Linked DNA regions of Alligator mississippiensis. The protein of the gene in region 1 purifies or fractionates together with the protein of each later gene. This does not show direct contact. Links are inferred from orthologs where the notes say so. Each region holds a gene or a part of one and is shown on either strand. Other genes may lie near its edges.

Region 1 (10,587 bases):
CTGCGTACTATCTCAACAATTTGCAGTATGATATGGGAACTTATAAACCAGAGATGTTATTTGTATGAACTGATCTGTGGTATGTAATCTGTTTCTTGCTGACCTGTTCACCAAAAACATACCTGAACTATAGTAACTTATTTAGACAGCATATTTTTAAGAAAAGTCAAACAGGCAAACTAAACAGGAATGCAGCGTTCTCTACACATGAATATGCTATTGCAATCTATTTTGAAAGGTGCAAAAGCTAACAAAAATGAACTGGTTTTACTACAATATAAGTCAAGCATTGGACATAATTATTTTCAATTCTATACCCTGCTGCTTTGCTATACTCAAAAAACAATTTTTCACATTTTAAATACTGCTACCAAACAATACTTAGGATTCTTCACTTTTACTAAGAACTCTGTGAACTCATTCAAAACCGTATCCTCATGTCAGAAAAGATTAACATATACTGGCCACAGGAGGGAGGTCAGAAAAAGGCATGCCTTCCATCTCTACTCAAAAAGGGCCTGATCCAAAGCCCAGTTCAGTGAATGGAAAGATTGCATGAGGAATGGCAAAATTCCACGACAAGAACTCAGGAACACAAGAGACTAGGAAACAATCATGAGGGTAGGTACCAGGTCGTTAATCCTATGCAGTTAACATTCAATGGATAGTATGCTATGCTTTGTTTCTTAAATAACTGATGTAAGCTGACTAATTTTGGCTTGACAACCTAAAATATTTTCAAGGTTTTTGCCTTTACACCTCTCGTTTTGCTTGGCAGCAGGCTTTCTATCATCTCTCCAAAGATTCTCATCCATGCCAATCCCGCTTCATCATAGTTTTGTATAAAGTCCTGATAGCTATTTCTGGAATTTATGTTTGGTGACTAGCGCTTTCTGTGGAGAAGACATAAGCAAAGGTCAGGATGAATGGGAAAAAAGAATTGCCTTCCACACCGGAAAACTATTTGCCAGTGATTTAGGGACCCTATTTAGAAAAAGGTTCTTTGAATACTATTGTTCTTATTATTATTAGGATCACAGATAAAAACAGAAACCAATTCACTTTGCAAACTGACTTGTAAGTTAAGTATTCAAGAGAAAATTCCCTGATGTTTTATTGATTTGTTTTATTGATTTTTAAGTATAGCAATATTGCACTTAAAATTAACCATATTGCTGAAAACAGGCACTTGAAAAACTTTTCAAATCTTGAGGCTTCAGTTTAAGACTTAAGGTAAAAGCTTGTAAATATGAAATATCTTTTCAACCAGATAGGTGCAAAATTTAAAAAGTCAAGTTCATTTAAATATGTTGTTATAAGTATTTGTCATCACAACAGATGCCTAACAAAAGCGTTTAGATTAATCAAATGAGATTTTACACAAGACAAATGAATAGCTTTGTTGAAATCCACATCTGATTGAATAATGTATTAACCTTGACTAAGTTGTAAGCATCATCTAAAAAAAAGGATCAGAGTGGTACTCAAGTGTGTCAAATGACTGTGATACAAATATAGCGGTGATAAGATATTTTAGATGGTGTGGATGTAATATTTTATATACTGGAATGGAGTTTGTTCTTATATTTTCAATCACAATAATAAGTAAAATATCAGATAAAGAACAGAGTAACTGTTGTCTTATAAAAGGAAATTTAAATTACTAGATCCATTATTTCAAAATTTTTACAAAATTGCATTAAAGTTACAAGTAGTTAAAACCAAGCCAGAGTAAGTCATACACAAGAAAAAAGATTAGAAAGTAAATAGAGTTGTATGTACTAATGGTGAAATCCACGTTACCAAAACTCACCGAACTACTCTGCTTCACTCATATATAATGTAAAAATACGGGGTGCATAGATACCATAAACTCTTCCCATTATTTTCCTGGGGGTCATATCCTGCTTGCCGTGTGTGTGTGTGTGTGTGTGTGTGTGTGTGTGTGTGTGTGTACACATACACACACACACACACACACACACACACTGTAATTTCTACCATGTCAGATTACAGCACAACTATCTCCTGAGGCTGTTGAAGCACAGTCAGTTTTGCAGTGCTGGTGTGCTGTGACCCTGGTTTTAATCATGTTCCCAAATCATGTTACAACCTAACAAATGTACACAGGTTTCCCCTCAGAGCTAGGCTATCCTGTTTTTTAATGCTGTGTATTCTTTAGTATATATATGCACCCATACAAATGTAATCCCAGCAGTATGTTACTCATTTTTCAAACTCTTCTTGATTCCACCACCAACCAAGATCTCTCTAGCTCCCAAAAGGTTTCCAAAGTAGTTACTTAAGTTCCTCTAGAGCAAGTTGCCTTCTTGTCCCCCTAAATATTCAGATGCTTCAATAATCAATCTACAACTAAAGACCATGGAGAAAGTGTTTTCCTTTGCCTTGACCTGGGCTAATGAATCCAACTCCCCCCAGCTAATTCAGAGAGTCACACCCAGACACTGCACAACAAAATGAACAATTCTCCACGTGCTGCTCTTGCTGCACTTTAAGCAGCCGTCATAATAATAATAGTAATAATACAGTAATAGTAGTAATAATAATAGAAAGTGAAATCAACCCAAGTGATTAGGTGGAAGAGATGATTTGCTGTTACAGAAAAAAAAATTCTTGGCACAGACTAAAGTCTCTTTATTGGTCAAGCTGAGCCACTGTAGAAAGTTTCCCACCAAGGCCTGGAGTCTTGGTGTCTTTCTGGGTTAATGTCAGACTGGTCATTCTTTCATATAGATCTCCCTGCCTGCCCAATGTAGACAGCAGAGGAGCACTGTAAGCAGGTGACAGTGTATTTAAAGCTGCTTAAAGCCAGAACCCCCCTCCACCTCCACTACCACCACCCAAGGACCTGGCTGAAGTGAAGACACTGGGGACCCCTCTGCAATTTATAGGGGGCACCTGATGTCCCCCTTCCCTTGGCCAGACAGATGCAACCCGGGCACTGACCGATTTGGGGATAATAGCCCTAACCCTCCCCACTTCACGCTGCACTTTTGAAGCAAGCTATGCTTGAAGAAGGGTGGTTGTGCCCGAAAGCTTGCAAAGAGCAATTTTTCCAACTCGAGCTGGTCTAATCAAAGATATCGTATCTTCTCAAAGAACCTTGTCTGCCTCTGGTATTTCAACAGGAATTTCCTCTTTTATCAGGTCCCCCCCCCCCCCTGCCCCCAGCATGGCTAACTGTGCCAATTTTAGGCCGGCTGCCTTTGTCTGGCTCTCTCAGTTGTTGGGGGGGGGGGGGAGGGGGAGGGTGCCCTGCTCTGCTCTCTCCCCAGTGCCCACAAATCCTGCCCCTCCATCACCTCCTGGTTGTCCCCCCACTCCATACTGCTCCCCACTCCAAACAGTGTGTGACCCCCTGAGCACACAGAGGCAGTGTGTGTGGGGGGGGGGGGGAGTCCCACGTGTAGACACGGGGCAGCTCAGTGGCAGTAGGGTGGCAGTGGGGGCGGGGGGGAAGCTTCCCGCTGCCCGCATGGGAGTCCCCACCCCGCCTCGCCCGCTGTCTGCCCGGCTCTGGAGGCGGGGAGGGGGCGAGCGCACGCCGCCCAGGGCGGGGAGGGGACACACAGGCTCCACTTGCTCAGTGACACCGGGAAGAGGCGCGGCGATGGCCCGGGCTGCATGTGCGAGGCTGGGATGGAGCCGGGATGGGGGGGGCTCAGCGTGGCTCCGTGTGTGCGTGTGCATGTGTGCATGTGTGTGCATGTGTATAGGTGCGGGTGTACATGGCTGTGAGCGTGCATAGTGTGTGAGTGTGCATGGGTATGCATATGCATGGGTGCGCGTGTGCAGGGGTGCGGGTGTGCAAGGGTGCGGGTGCGTGTGCGCGCGCGCGCCTCGCCTTTTACCTCGCGTTGGTGCAGTCGTTGTAGAGGGTCTCGAAATCCTTCCTGGAGATGAGTTTGCAGCGGTTGACGCCGGGCTGGATGGCCCCCAGCCCCCGCAGGATGCGGACCTGCTCCACGTTGCACACCACGGGCGTGATCTCCAGCCGCTTCAGCTTGGTGTAGACCGTGTGCAAGCCCCCGACCAAGTGCTTGAGGAAGAGGTCGAAAGCCTGGGGCAGGCAGATGAGCTCGCAGCCCTCCACGGTGAAGGAGGCCACCTTGGCCCCCCTCAGATCCACCATCTTGCACTCATTATTCTGGGGGGTGTTCTCCACCGGGGACGGGGTGGAGTACACGGGCTTGCCGGGCAGGCTGCCCCCGGCGCTGGGCGCGCTGGCGCTGGGGGCGGCGGGGCCGGGGCCGCCGGCGGTGCCCGCGCTGGGGCTGCAGCTGCTGCTGCCGCCGCCGCCTCCGCCGCCGCCGGTGCTGCCGCTGCCGCTGCCGCCGCCGCCTCCTCCGCTGCCCGCGCTGGCGGCGGCGGTGCTGGAGGTGCCCGCGGCCGCCGCGGCTCCGAGGGGCTCCGGCCGGAACACGCTGGTCCCCGACGCGGCTGGCGGGGGAGCCACGGACGGAGACGGCGACGAGGTGGCCGACGACGTGGTGGTGGTGGTGGTGCAGGCGGCAGAAGTGGAGATCGGAGGCTGCGGGGGGACCAGCTGGGTCGGCGGGATCAAGGCAGCCGGGACGGCCATGGTCACATATACGGAGCCGGGGTAGGGCGGGGGGGGAGCACAAAGTTGCCACACACACGAGAGAAAGAAAGCAAGAAAGAGAGAGAAGGGAAGGGGTGGGGGGGGGGGGCGGGGAGGGAGAAGGGCTGGGGGGGGAGAGGGACCCCCAAGCCCGGAGAGCAGAGGGCAGCGAGAGAGAGGGGAAGAGGCGCACAAAGTGTCCCGCCAGCGAGGAGGAGAAGTCCGCTCCCGGGGCTGGGGTGCAGGGGAGAAGAGAGGGAGGTGGGGAGGGCAGTTTGTTTTTGTGGTCCTTTTGGCTCTAGCACCGCGTGAAAGAGGAAGGTGGGAAGGAGGAGGCTGGAAGGACTTCGGTTCTCTCTGGCGAGCACATTGATCAAAGATTGAGAGGGGGAAATGACAGAGAGAAAATGAGCTGGGGAAAAAAAAAGTGCTGGCTTGCTGCTGCCGCTCGCTGCTCGCTCGCTCGCTCTCTGGACGAGTTGTTGTTGTCACACGGTGCAGAGGGGAGGAGCTCCGGCAACTTGAAATACCCTTTGAAGCAGCAAAAGCCTCACTCACTAGTATTAACCCAAATTATCCAACCAGCAACCCGGAGCAAAGAATCAGAGAGAGAGAGAGAGAGAGAGAGCCCTCTTCCTCCTCCTCTTCATAAACCGTTAGATTACATGTTTCATATTTCATCTCATCAGAGACGAGATGCAATTTTCCAAGCCCTTCCAAACAATCGCTTGTCAACACCATTAAAAAAAAAATGTATATAAAGAACATTTCAAGCCTTTCTTTAAAAAAAGAGAGAGATAGAGAGAGATTAAACTGCGTCTCTTTCAGGGCATGAAAGGTGGCGGGGGCGCAGAGGAAACTTTGCTTGGTCACCCATCTCCCACCGGGTGGGAGAGGAGCAGATCCACTTGCAAACAAAGCTCAGATCGTGTGTTGGTCTGATTTAGTTAGTTGTGCGTGCATGTCTTTCTTTTTCTTTGAGATAGTTAGTTAGTTACGTGTGCATGTATTTATTTTTCTTTGATTTAGGTAGTGAGTTATCTGTGCATTTATCTATTTTTCTTTGGTTGAGTTAGTTTTGCGCGCATTTCTGTATTTATTATTATTTATTTATTTATCAGCTATTATTTATTTATTTATTTATTTTGAGCCCCCCCAGGCAACAAACAATGCCAAATTGGCAGGGCTGGGCGGTTAACAGCAAGAGCCGGCCTCGTTTTATCGCCAGATCTCTTTGTTTGTGCGGACAAGTTGTAATTGCCTGGAGCGCCAAGCACTCCAGAAGAAAAAGCCCAACTCAAGCGACTCCCGAGGACTTCCTGGCGAGACCGGGCAGTGGCGGAGCAAAGCGCGCCGGGCACCGTGCGGGGCGTGCGGGGCTAAAGCGGGCCGGTGCCCAGCTGGGATGGGGCAAGGGCAAGGGCACGCTCGCACCTTTTGTCTCCGGGAACTTTTTTGATCACGGGTCTTTCTCACTTTGTGCTTGCGTGTCTTTCGAGTGCATAAAAGACCATTCCCATTCTCGCATGATTTTTGTTTTCTCATCCATATATATATATATATATATATATATATATATATATATATATATAGCTCTGCATGTTTGGCTAAAATGGGGCAGCTGCGTTCATTAGAGCAAGGCTGAAGGAACTTGCCATGTTAGAGAGCTGCAGCTGAGTGCTTACTCCCACCCTGTTGTGTCTAGGTATTGCAGCGGCCGGTGAACAACAGGTGACTCTATAGCACCGATCCAACTTTGATGTGTAATAACCAGGTATCAGTGTACAATTAGCTCTTGCGCTTGCTCACACATGCGCAGTCACTAAATTGACAGGCTGTGCAATCCGGCACACATTTGAATATCCAGGCCCCATTTATGTCCTAATACCTAACCACGATGAGGTTTAAGGGTGGAGGTTTAGCTTGAGCTCGGAAATTTCCCTTTTTGATTGAAAGTTTGGCAGTGTTGGGGAGGGGGGTTCCCTCTCCGTTTATTTTGATGACCTTTCTGTGTTTAAAATAACCTTTCATAGAAATGCAACGTTAGACTGGGCATATAAGCATCTAAGCTTCATATAGCTGCATATAAAGCTTAGATCGTCATATAAAGCTTAGATCCGGAATGTACTCTCCAAATTATAACAACTTGTCCCTCAGCCTGTTTTAGAAAGAGTGTACTATTTATATGAGACATGATTCATGGGGCTGCACATCTAGATGTGTGATAAGAATCTTAATTAAAGTAATTCTGTACATGGGAAATTTCCACTTTTTTTCAGATTATCTCAAGCTATTCGCTTGCTCTTGCAACCTGCTTCCTCACACGTTAGATTGTTTTCAATCAAATGTTTTGAATTTTCAGTACCAATATCTCCCATTAGCGAATCTGTCATTTCCTCCAAAAACTCAATTGCACTAAAATGAGCAAAAGAACTTTTTCTAAAAAAAAAGAAGAAAAACAAGTGATTATCATATCAATGCTGGCACCTTGTCTTCTAACACTGGCACGGAGCAGTTCTTTTTAAATAGCAAAGCTAAGACAAAATCAACAGAAAATAAAACAGGGTGGGAGAAAAACTTTAAATACCTCGACAATTGCAAAAAAAGGTATCTTTTTTTTTTTTATCATTTTCACTTGCAAAAGACTTACTGCCCAGATTTATTGTCTTTTATTTCTCTGCTTCAGCTCGTCCTTCTGCATTGCACTCTGTCCTGCACACGACATATATTCATAAAACATACACTTGAGAAATTGAATGCAGAACCAAACATGTGTGGAGTTGCCATTCATTTCAAGTTTCAAATGAACTCGGGATTTCAAAAATAACCCAAACCTGCCAGATCCTGGGTTGTTTCTCTGCCCTACAATATGCTCCACGACTGTCCTTTTGGTTTTCTTCTGTGTGTTTTCATGGATCCGTAATCCGTCTGTTGCCAAACAGCTTGAAGAAAATGTAGTTTGAAAGGTTTTACTACCACAGGTTTAGGTTAACGGTGATGGTTTCAGGAAACAATGGGATTAGACACCGAGAAAGAAAGAGATGTCTGAAAGGTTCAAGGATCTTCAAAGCTTTTTGTCTGGTCGGATTGTAACAAACTCTAAGAATTGTAGCAAACTCCTGGATGTATTTTCACAGACAGACATACCTCCACTTCAACAAATAAGGACATTGCTCTCTTCCTCTTTTCAAACTTTTTTTCTTCCACGGTGCATTTTATTACTCATTGGCCCTTTCAAGTCATGATATTGTTACACGCTTCCTTTATTTTTCCCAGAATTTATATCAGCAAAACTCAAATTACTGTAACTGATATTTGAAAATTCTCCCTGTGTCAAGTGAAGACTTATGATGCTGAAATCAATAAGCCTGTTTAAAATTCAAAGACCTGCAAATCATTCTGTTTGTCCTTTGATAGGGCCTGGGCTGATTAAAATGCGACCAAGAAAGCTTAATTGCTGCACTAATTAAGAAGTCTTTAATTTCTTTCCTGGAATATTGTTTGAAGCAGAGCTTCTCTTGTACTCACATAACTGTTCAGGGCAGGTATTCTCCTCTTTTCCCTTTGACCATTTCAGGGAATATACTAAGGCACTAAGATGAATAGGTGGTTATGATTATTTATTACTTAAAAAAAACCCCACCTGCTACGGAGCTCACTGTTTTATTAAAGCCTAGTTTTGAGGGCAATTCTAAGGCATAAAAAGGAGTTAGAAAATGCATCGTAGCTGTTACCTCTTAAATACCTGACTGACGGGGTCAGTCCCCCTCCCTCCTGCCTTAGTTGTTATTGATATATAAATATTTAAATATAGCCGGGCGAACAGAAAATACTTTCTCCCCGGACTCTGTGTAAAGCGGATTGGGATGAAAGGGGTGGGGGCTGTGGGACAGGATGGTTTTTATGGCTGGGTGTGTATCGCAACATCCAGTTTATGAACTATCTGCATTTGCTCTGACTTTTATTTCCTTGAGAAATGCACTTCTCTATTCCAGCTCGTCTTATCCTAGTCTATTGACCTATTTTGTTCACCGATTTCTCAAGTGGGGAAACTTGACTAAATGATTTCACAAAGCTTTCTGGGTGATCAATAGTCATTTTTTAGGTTTAATCATGCTGCATTATAATTCTGGCAAACGACTGCCGAGCAGAAGACTCCGCAAAAGCAAGAGGTTATCGACAAAGGGAAGGCAAGTTTGGTTTTACATCTTGCAGGTCTCGCATAGTTTGTTTCAGCAGCTACCTGTTATTTCGCGGGGAGCAGGCACAGAGGGACACGTCCCCTCCGTGGAGGGACATGCAGTGTTACAGAAATGCACCATAATGGGGTCCTTCCCCTCCCCCCCCCCCACGAAGATATTTACTAAACATTGAAATACTTATTGAAAATAATAATGTGTGCATTTGAGATGGTTACAATAACAAGCAAATAGGTACTGCCGTGCTGGGTTGTTTTATTTTTCGTGATTGTTGCATTATAGCCAAATTAGCATGGACTTTCCCCAGTACAAATACATCCTGGATTCCTTGCAATGACAGGACGAGTAGATAACATACTTAATAGATACAAAGGGAGATTTGCCATTCCGAGCACGACGTCACGCTAATCATGCTTCCTCTAATTGAAAGCAAGGTTTGGGGGACTCTGAAATTGCTTTTAGGACCTTTTTTTTTAAAATAAGAAAATAATAAAAATAATGAAAGCGCGCCAAACGGGGATGGCAAACCTTTCAGGCTTTCGACATCTATTGGGAAAAAAATTAAATGAAAAGTGGAGTTTGGTACAAACAGTGCCTCGGGGCAAAACAAACAAACAAACAAAAAAACAAAAAACACTACAAAAACCCCAACTCACACTAGATTTTCCAGTCCAGCCACAACACAAATCAATTTGAGCACACTTCTATGGCCAGACTGCCAGATTGTTATGACTGCTAATTCACTCAATCAAACAGTGCATTAGCACACCCGGCACAAACAACTTCAACAATAGCATCCACTTGTGAGCAGTCCACAGTTAAACGTGGGAGCGCCGGGACAGGATCCTTGTTGCATGGCATGAGAATTGGACCTGAGCTAAGCGTTTAACCACTACGCCGTGTGTACATTACAGTGTAAAAAAAAAAAAAGAAAAGAAAAGAAAAGAAAAAAAGAAAAACCCTAAAAAAAACAAACCCCAAAACTTCAAAAGTCCTTTAAAATCACCGCAAAAGTTTTGCGTAAAGCACATAGTCTCCTGGGCTCTTTTTTAAAAAAAAATCACTCTCTCAGTTGGAGAGTGCAAAATAGCATCCAGCAGTTTATGGGAAATGGGTTGATGCCGGGCTGTATAGTTTGCCAACACGCCCTGCTCCCCCCCTCCAGTTTGGCTGGAGACCACAAGGACCGCATCTCCCGCGAGTGTAATCTCCCCGCGCCTCCCCGCTGTGTTAATCGCCTGCGTAAAAGGAGCAGGACGGAGCCCCCAGTGGGGATCTCCAGCGTCTTCCCTTCAGCCCCAGGAGCAAGGCGAGCGGGGTCTGCGGGGATGATGCTGAGCGATGCTCTGGCCAAGGGCAGGGCTGGCTGGGGTCCCGCTCCCCCACCTGCAAATGTCTGCAGACTGGGGAGGCTCCTTTCCCTGCTGTATTTACAAACGCTTGAAAATAAAAGCAGAAAGCACGCGCGCTGCCCCTAGCTGGGGGTGGGAGAGGTGCTCTTCCCAGTGCGGGGCTGGAAATCGCGGAGCTGGAGCTGGTTCCCGCGCCGGGAGGAAACCCGCTTCCTCGCTGGCCCCGCCGCTCCCCTGCCTGCAAGCCCAGGTGTTCAGTCCCCGACCAACAGGTAGGGCGGGCAAGCCCTGCAAGCACTGAGTGCCCCGGGCAGCCTGCCCCCTCCCAGCCCGGCACACTGCCCTCGGAGCCTCCACCGCGACGCCCCGGGTCAGAGGAACGGGCTGGCCCGATGCTTACTCGGCTTTCCCCACGTCTAAGCATCCCTCTGGC
Region 2 (9,671 bases), on another chromosome or scaffold:
GTCCCATTCAGATGATTCGCTTATGTTAACAAGAAACCAAACCCTCTCTCTGGCTATGTATTATCCCCTTAGGTTAGTCATTACATCTTCTTCTGAGTTCCAGAAACAAATTAGATCTAGACCCCAACATCCATACACGTGTTCCCAAAACACAAAACTTTCTTCTGCGGTCCTTGTTTTCCTTTAGTACCTTTTTAGGTATAGTGGAGCCAGGTGACTGTGACATGCCAATCTTTTTTGCTATTGTCTATCATCTTTAGTAGCTTCTTCCTTTGTCTAAGGCAGTGGTTTTCAAACAGAGGTACATGTACCCACCATGGATACGCAGCCAAGGAGTACATGCCTCAATTTTAATAATGGCGGTGGATCTTCTGATTAGTCAAGACGTGGTAAGTAATGTCGTTGCTGCATGTTGACATTGATGTTGATATTTCTTAGGTTCTCAACCTTTTTACACTCAAAGCAGCCGTTGACAAATGCCAGCATTTTGCTTTCATTCATTTCTTGATTACAGAAAACAAAAGAGAATATTTTCTGTTGCAAGAATTCAGAAAGACCACAACAGATCAAAATGCCTTTGACACTGTGGAATCTTACTTAAAATCTCTGGGTTTAATCTGGTGAATCGCATTTAGATGTTTGCACATCTTAACAGGGCTACTATTGCACAGCACCCCATGGCACCCATAAAAGGATCCCACAGAACCCCAAGGTGCCTGGGCAACTTGGTTGAGAATCGCTGTCCTAGTTTAACTTAAAATGGAAAGACTCAAGCATTTTTTACTGTTTCTTTTTTTTTACAAAAGGGCTTAAAATAATTGTCATGATTTTTTGGCAGATAAAAATATAATGGTTGACAACATGGCTTTTGAGTGTGCTTTCCTTTAAACATACTGCATTGTGTAACATGTATATTGCATGTGTGTGTTGTTTGCTGCAACATACATTTATTTTCACACGCATAATAATGCTAAAAATGCTAACAGGTTATTTTAACGTTTTAAGTCATGCCAAGTAGCTCTCATTGTCAACTGCAGTAAATTTAATTTTTTGCAATTTGTAAAGAAAAAGTTGATAACCACTGAACTAGGACAAAAACATCTAAACTGTAACAGAAAAGACGTTTCTTTTTCATAGCCAGGGCTAAGAACTGTTAAATTACACTTTGCTAGAATGCAACCTTGTTTCTGGAATCTGAAAAGCAAAGTGAGGCTTCAGGGTTAGCAAAAGGATGAAAATTATGGAAACAAAATTAAAACCACCAGATCTACCATGGTCAAAAGAAAATAGCTTATAAAACCCTGGTGTCTTGCTTTTTACATAAACTTATCTTACTGTTGCAAGAAGAGAAAAAGCAGTTAATGCATGCATCTCCAAAAATGTCACCAAAAAAATACATAACTCAGAGTAATCATATCTTCATGTTTTACATCCACAGCTTTATTAACTCTATTAATTCGTTTGATTCCTGTAAGTTCAAGAAAAGCAATCCGCTTGATTTTTGTTTTTAGTCAGTACACATTGTCACATTGTTTTTTGCCCTTTTGGTTCCCTGCACTTTCTTCCTGACTGTGTTTGTTCTAAAACACCTTTAGCTTTTACCTCTACCAACGTGCTTGGGAAAAACACTACTGCACTTTAAACATCATTTCACTTTCCCTTGCCATTTCTCTTTTCTGTAAATTACAAAAGTTGCAACACAACTGCCTCAATTCAAAACTTGCCTTCTGTTACATTTAACCTTTTCCTTTAACTCACAGATCTGCTTACCGAAGGCAACTTTGCAATGCTTCACCTTACTCACTTCAGCCTTAACTTGAACTTCAGTTTCTTCTTTTCCCAGGCACTAATTTCTAATCCTACACGAGATGCAAGAAATGTCAACTCCGCTATCCTCTCATGGAGGGAGGTGTAACTTCAAGCTGATCTTTCCCTCATTAGCTTTACGTTATTTCTCATACTTCTTACAGTCATCTCCTGGGGTAGTAGTACACTCCACGTACCAAACGCAGGCCCTGAAGGATGATTGCTTTTACTTCTGCCTTTTCCTACTTGGGGTTACTCAGAATGGCAACTCTAAGTTTCCTCCAGTTTTGCATGGATTGTTCCCATTCAAATTTCTCAAGCATTACCCATCACATGCCAACATTTTCCCAGTAGCATCCAGTATTTCTTTGCTGTGCAGTACCACCCCTGTTGTCCTGTAAGTTGTTGTGTTTACTGGAGAGGAACTATTTGCTGCCTAAGAAAGACAGATGATGATCCTTCCATCTACAGGCTTTCAGGATTACTGACTGGTATCCTCCCGATTACACCAAACTGCTGGAATCTGATTGACCATGTCAGTAATTGAGCTAAAATCCCTTTATCAAACCCAAACACAAGAACTGTCATACAGTTACTTTAGACAAACCTTCTAACTAACTGTATATTAGATGGCAGTGTTGCAGCAGTTATTAATGACTTCACTCACACAGTAATTACAGCTACAAGCACTCGATCTGAATACAGGCAGTCCTCGACTTCCAACGTTTCGAGTTACAACGTTTTGCATTTACAACGTTTATAAATTGACACCCTGTTTCAACTTTCTGATGTCAGTTTCGGCTTTACAATGCTTGAACTGATGTGACGCCACACCAGCGAACAAGTTTGCTGCGTCGCTCATCTCCCTGGAGAACGTCTGTCCAAACTTCCTTGGACACTTTCTTTAAGAAAACAGACAAGACTCCAGAAAAACCTGCAGCCAGGACTGCTAAGAAGACTCCAGCCAAGAACCCTTCAAACAGTCCAACCAAGAGCCCTTCAAAATGTCCAGCAAAGTCACCTCAAAGAAGTCCTTCCAAATCAATGTGATTGCTATTTACGTTATAAATACATTAATGTAGCTATATTACTCAACTATAATTGATCGAGTATAAAATTCTGGGGTATTTTTGGTGAAAATAGGGTATCGGGCCTTGGTTCAGGAACCAATCCCCCATTTATAACATTGTTTCTTATGAGAAAATCGGTTCTGAGTTACGACGTTACGACTTAAGACGCGGTTTTCAGGAACCAATTGTATTGTAAGTCTGAGGACTGCCTGTACTTACAACCAGGCTAGAGAAGGACTTCCTTGCTGTCCCAGTCAACAGACTAACTCACACTCCCAAGGACCCCTGTTTAATCCCCTTAGATTTCTCATTACATCTTCTTCTGAGCTCCAGAAATTGATCAGATCTAGCCCCTGACTTGTATATAAGCCTCTCTGACTGTTTGCAAAACACAAAACCTTCTTCTACCATCCTTGTTTTCCTTCAGCCCATTCTCAGATATACTGGAGCCAGGTGACTGGTATACCAGGCTCCTTGCTGTGACTCTCCCACCTTTCCTAGCTCTTTTCCTTTGTCTTTTCCTTTTCCTGTTGACCAACATGTGCACGCAACAAATGACACGGGTCACCTGTGGGTGTGAGAGGGGGCAGGTACCACAGCAGCAGATAGGTCAGGAAGGAGAAAGCAGAACAGCAGATGAGATGAGGCAGAGGAGTGGCACCTGGGGCTGTTGAGGGCTAATTTGTGACATGCTCACCGAAAAGGCTTGCCTCCAACCTCTGTGGCTTAGTAGCTTCCACCATGACACTGGGCTCTGTTTTCCTGCTTAAATCGTGCATTCCTGAAAGTCTGATCCAATGTTGGACATCAGAATATATTCAAACACATCACTATCCAGTCCATAATACCTTCCTTAACATACCACAACATGATGCCTACATCATACACATCTCACCTCCACAGGGCAGCTCACAGGTACAAGAGTGAGCCTGAAACTTCGCCCCGTAAGCTGCTTTGAAGGACTGCGCATTTTCTTTATACCGAACCAATGCAGTTGCAACACAGCATCAAGAGTATTGGACTCAACTTAGTGAATCTGCTGCTTTTAAACCAGAGATTTCAACCAGGCTGTGGTGCTGGTGGCAGGAAAAATATTATTGTGGGGAGCTGAATAAATATTATTGTGGGGGGGCTGACCCACGCCCCTGCAGGTTTATTGCAGACCCGGTGTGTGCTGGTGCTGTACGCGGTGCTGGAGGAGCAGCGCCGGGTGCTGTGGGACAGCAGTGCCGTGGTGCTGGTGCTGTCGCTGGCTGCTGCAAAATTAGTTTGGGGGGGCTAAGCCCCAGCCTTCCGCCACCTATAAGCTTTGGGCAGGGCTGGATTCATGCATAAGCAAACTAGGCACATCCCTAGGGCCCTGTCCGCCTCCCTTCCCTTCACTTCCCCTTCCCTCCGCCAGCCTCGCCACTGCGGCAGCTGCTTCCTAGAGGCCGCTCTGAGCCCTGCTCCCCGCAGGCAGCAGCACCAGGGTGGGGAGAGGGGTCTTGACCAGCCCCGGGGTCCATGAGCTTGTTTGCCTCGGGCTTACAAAAGGGTTCATCCAGCCCTGGCTGTGGGGGCACTGCCAGAACCTTTAAAGGCTCAACATAACTGCTATTTATTGGGTCAGACCTTAGGTCCGTCCAGTCCAGCATCCTGTCACAGTGGCTCGAGGGCCAGCCGATGCTGTCTGGTGTGCTCTGCTCAGCACCCCCCTTGGAGCACTTCCCCGTCGCTCTGCCAGAGCAAGACCCGCCATCCCGTCATGCGTCCAACAGGCCCATGCGGGGGCGAGGGTGGCCATCATAGAGGACAGTCCGCTTTTCTGCTACACTGTCCTCTATCGGTCCGAAACCCGACGCCTTAATGTCCTCTCTTTTTCTCTTTGAGAAGACCCGATGCCTTTATGTCCTCTCTTGTTCTCATCTGATGTTTTTCTTGGAGAAAAAACAGAGGACATAAAGGCGTCCGGTTTCATATCAATAGAGGACAACTGGACTGTCCTCTACGATGGCCAGAGAGCGGCACCGAAAGGTGGCAGCGGAGGAGAGCCGCACATGGGACCGACCCGCGTCCCCTTCCCCGCACGCCGCCAGGGGCTGGTTCTTGACCCCGAACGCCGCCAGGGGCTGGTTCTTGACGTCACCCCGCCCAAGGCCACGCGGGATCATGACACGATTATAACCGTCCCTGTTAGCAGGCCCCGTCAGACAAAAACAATCCACAAAAAACTGGATTTTCCTTATTTCCGCCCCAATTTACAAACTCAAAACATTTGAATACACGAGGAACGCATCCATAGATGAATAAAACCACGTGGAGCCATGGGCGCGTGTATTTTTGTCATTTGCCAACAGAAAAAATCCAGGGGTTTTTTTTTGCTTTTTATTCCGATTTAGCCACCCCTGGCGTGGCGAGGCCCTGAACTGTACTTTCAAGCCTAAATGCGGGAGGGCGCTGAGGGAGTGCGACAGCGAGCCAAGAGCGGGGTGTGTTACACATGGGGGAGCGGTGCCGGGGGGGGGGCATAGGGAGTGGTGTGGGGGGGGTGTTGCACGTGGGGGTGCACAGGGAGTGGTGCGGGGGGTGTTACACACAGTAGGTGCACAGGGAGCAGTACAGGGGTGTTACACACGGGGGTGCACGGGGAGCTGTATGCGGGGTGTTGCGCATGGGTGTGCACAGGGAGTGGTGCAGGGGGTGTTACGCACAGGGCTGCACAGGGGGTTACACACAGGGGTGCATGGGGAATGGTGCAGGGGGGTGTTACACATGGGGGTGCACAGGGAGCAGCATGTGGGGGTGTCATGCACAGGGGTGTTACACACAGGGGTGCACAGGGAGCAATGCGGGGGGTGTTACACAAAGGGATCACAGGAAGTAATGTACGGGGGTGTTGCACACTTGGGTGCACAGAGAGCAGTGCAGGGGGATGTTGCACAAGGGGTGCACGGGAAGCAGTGCGGGGGTGTTGCACACGGGGTGCACGGGAAGCAGTGCCAGGGTGTTGCACACGAGGGTGCACGGGGATAGCAGACAGCCCCCTCCCGCACTGTTCCCGCGGCGCCCCCGACCCTGCCCGGCAGCAGGGGGGAGGGGGGAAATCACGTGACAACCGCGCTCCCCACCCCCTCCGCGGGAACCCCCGGCCCGTCCCATACATCCAGGCGGGGGGGGGAGTAGGGAAGAGTCCATCATCCCCCGCGTCACCCCCGTGCCCCCCCTCCCCTCCGCCCCGCTTGGTATCTACCTCCGAAGGAAGCCCCGCCCCCTTCGGGCGCCTCTTCAGCGGGCAACCGGAGATTCGAAAACAATACGTCAGCCCACAATGCGCCGCGCCGACCTGGTCCGCATTACCTCATCCCGGCTTGCCCCGCGCGCGGGAGGAGAAGCTTCGAGGGGCGGGGTGGCCATGGAGACGGGCTCGTAGGCAACCGGCCCGCCCCGCCCCCTCCCCCGGCGGCCGCAGCCAATGGGGAGGCCGCGGGGTGACATCATGGGCTATTTTTAGGGGGTTACTGGTCGCTGATAAGTGTCGGGCTGCACGCGGCGAAAGGGCTCAGACGCGCGGCCGCCAGCGCTGCCCCCTGCGCCCGGCTCGGCTCGGCTCGGCCTGCGGCGTCTCGGGACACACGCGAGCAGCAGCCGGAGGAGGAGGAGGCGGCGGCGGCGCAGCGCAGCGCAGCGCAGCGGGACTCGGGCTCCTGCCCGCAGGGGAGAGGCCAGGGCCGGCCCGCGCCCCCCGGCTGCCCGGTGCCGGCCCGCCCGCCCTTGGCCCCCTGTTCTATGACTGCAAAGATGGAGCCTACCTTCTACGAGGATGCCCTGAACGCCGCCTTCGCGCCGCCCGAGAGCGGTGGCTACGGATACAACAACCCCAAGGCGCTGAAGCAGAGCATGACCCTGAACCTGGCCGACCCCGCCAGCGCCCTGAAGCCGCACCTGAGGAACAAGAGCGCCGACCTGCTCACCTCGCCCGACGTGGGGCTGCTCAAGCTGGCCTCGCCCGAGCTGGAGCGCCTCATCATCCAGTCCAGCAACGGGCTCATCACCACCACGCCGACCCCCACCCAGTTCCTCTGCCCCAAAAACGTGACGGACGAGCAGGAGGGCTTCGCCGAGGGCTTCGTGCGGGCGCTGGCCGAGCTGCACAACCAGAACACGGTGCCCAGCGTCACCTCGGCCGCCCAACCTGGCGGCGGCGGCATGGCACCTGTCTCCTCCATGGCCGGCAACAGCGGGTTCAATGCCAGTTTGCACAGCGAGCCGCCGGTGTACGCCAACCTCAGCAACTTCAACCCCAACGCCCTCACCTCGGCCCCCGGCTACACGCCGGGCAGCATGGGCTACCCGCCGCCACCACCGCCGCCACCACAGCATCACATGAACCCCCAGATGCCGGTGCAGCATCCCAGGCTCCAGGCGTTGAAAGAAGAGCCTCAGACTGTCCCTGAAATGCCGGGGGAGACTCCTCCGCTGTCCCCCATTGACATGGAGTCTCAGGAGAGGATCAAGGCTGAAAGGAAGCGCATGAGAAATCGAATCGCCGCCTCCAAGTGCCGGAAAAGGAAGCTGGAAAGGATTGCCAGATTGGAAGAAAAAGTGAAAACTTTGAAAGCCCAGAACTCAGAACTGGCATCCACTGCCAACATGCTCAGAGAACAGGTTGCACAGCTTAAGCAGAAGGTCATGAACCATGTCAACAGTGGGTGCCAGCTCATGCTCACACAACAGTTGCAAACGTTTTGAAGAGATTGACTCGAGTCAGAACTAATGAGGTTGTGGTAGAGCAAACAAACCCCCCAGAAGTGGCAGACACGTAAAGCTAATGGTAAAAGCTGAAAGGCATTGAGTCCTGCCTGCGCCCCGCCAAGCGCATGTGTGGAAAGACTGGCAAGCCTTCAGTCCGAGCGAGTGGGTGAAGCAGCCAGCAGCACCGCTCTGAGAAGTGCTGTGCCTGCTCCGAGGAGACTTCAGATCTCTTGTTTTAACACTGACCAAGACCTGCATGGACCTAACATTCGATGATCATTCAGTATTAAAGGTTAAACTGCAATAGAGACTGTAGTTTGCTTTCTGTAGTACTCTCTTTAAAGGAAAAAAAAAAAAAGTGGGAGGGAGGCTTGTGGGAGGCTCATAAGGAAAAAAAAAAATGAACTATACTGCCTGCCTTCACTTAAATTTGTGTATGTACATATCTTTTTTTTATTATTATTATTTTATGAAAGCTGATTAATGTCAATAAACTACTTCATGACTTTGTAAGTTATTTTTATGTTGTTTATTTGGGGTCTGCCTGGTACTGTTTTGTAAATAAGACAGTGTTTCCTCCCCAAGCACCCTGAGTTTGCAGTTTGTAATAAAAGTATAATTTTCTTTTATGCTTTTTGCTTCTGGAAAAGAATCCCAGAAAAGTTCTGTTTATATTTTAAGAACTTGTTTTTAAAAATGCATTTCCCCTCCCTTCTCCCCTTCCCCAGTACCTAGATCAGGACTAGTATCCTGTATCCCAAACTCTAAGTGGGTAAGACTGATGTTAAACTTACTCTATAACAACAGACATCTGAGGAATGTGTCAAAGTGGGGATACAAAACCAATGCTGTAGTGTAAACAGATGTGGTTTTTGCATCTTTATTTATTGCCTTTATGTGGTCTGGATTGGCTACCATAATCCAGTAGCAGTTTGGACAGTACACTTAAAAAAATTAAGCAGGTTGGAGGAATCTGCTGTTGTATCGAACTGTCCTGTGCTGAAATAGTGTGAACTGTAACTGGCTATTTAATGTTAGATGCTTCTTAGTAAACTAGTGTCCTCAACAACATATTTAAAATAGGAGATTTAAAAAAAATGTATCCTTCACATGGAACTCATCACCTCATTTTTTTTTTTGTCTAACTATTCCTAGATAAAAGGTGATCTCTGTTCATAAGTATTTATGACAATGCTGTTGTCACAATAAAATCATTCTATAACCCTTTCCCTATCTCTACTTCCTTTCCCTTTCAGATGTTTTTGATTGTATACTTATTTATCCATATGAAAAGTGGGTAAAGCTAACAGTGAGGAAACCTTTTATTTCTACACTGAAAATCAGGGTGTAAATAAAAAGCAAAGCATCTAGGGAGGATTCTTCTTTTTCAAAAAAGACATTATTATGACAACAGCTTCCCTGTCATTGTCAGTGTGCATGTACAATAATTTATAGACTAAGACCATAAGCAACAACTGAGAAACAAGGTACTTAATAGTTCTGAAGAAAAAAACCACGCATGCTTGTGGAAAATAGTAATATTTATCAGTCACTATTTTCAACATACTGATTCTGTGTCCAATTACATTTATATAAAACAGATTGTATTGCTAAAATTATTTGGAGGGGGTTGGAGCCATATAGCTAAGAGGTAACAGATGCTGTGGGGGGAGAGGCAGAATAAAAAATCATTAATACATTACTTTATAATTCTGTTTAGTCAGTCTTAAAAGTCTCCTCTTTTTAAAGTTATAATACTTGTAAGAAAACACAGTACTTCACAAAATGTCAGTTAAAATCATTCATAATAAACACACATGTTAACTGGTAACAAAACTTGGATACCCAGAAACTTTTTGTAACTGCTTTCTCTCAGGATAGTAGTTCCTTTATAGTAGTATACAGTAGTAGTTAGTCCCCTTTGATGAGTGATCCTTTTGGCCCATGATATAAATTGTGGGATATGAATCATTTCATAGAGTAGATTGTTTTAACTTTTGAGTTATAGTAACGTTTCTTCCCTAATAATATATGTGCTGGAGTTGGGATTACTATGTTTAG

The links.
Region 2: the proteins of DACH1 (region 1) and JUN purify together in Homo sapiens (affinity purification with western blotting; 3 studies listed by BioGRID and IntAct, with this or other methods). This does not show direct contact. The link is inferred for Alligator mississippiensis from reciprocal best matches to the Homo sapiens genes DACH1 and JUN.

What each region holds. Positions count from the first base shown.
Region 1 is NC_081824.1:390,805,973-390,816,559, reverse strand, and holds the start of DACH1 (dachshund homolog 1), read right to left. Parts: upstream 5,173-10,587; 5' UTR 4,604-5,172; coding exon 3,873-4,603; intron 1-3,872. UniProt on the Homo sapiens protein: Transcription factor that is involved in regulation of organogenesis. Seems to be a regulator of SIX1, SIX6 and probably SIX5.
Region 2 is NC_081828.1:13,376,128-13,385,798, reverse strand, and holds JUN (transcription factor Jun), read left to right. Parts: upstream 1-6,643; 5' UTR 6,644-6,644; coding exon 6,645-7,607; 3' UTR 7,608-7,635; downstream 7,636-9,671. UniProt on the Homo sapiens protein: Transcription factor that recognizes and binds to the AP-1 consensus motif 5'-TGA[GC]TCA-3'.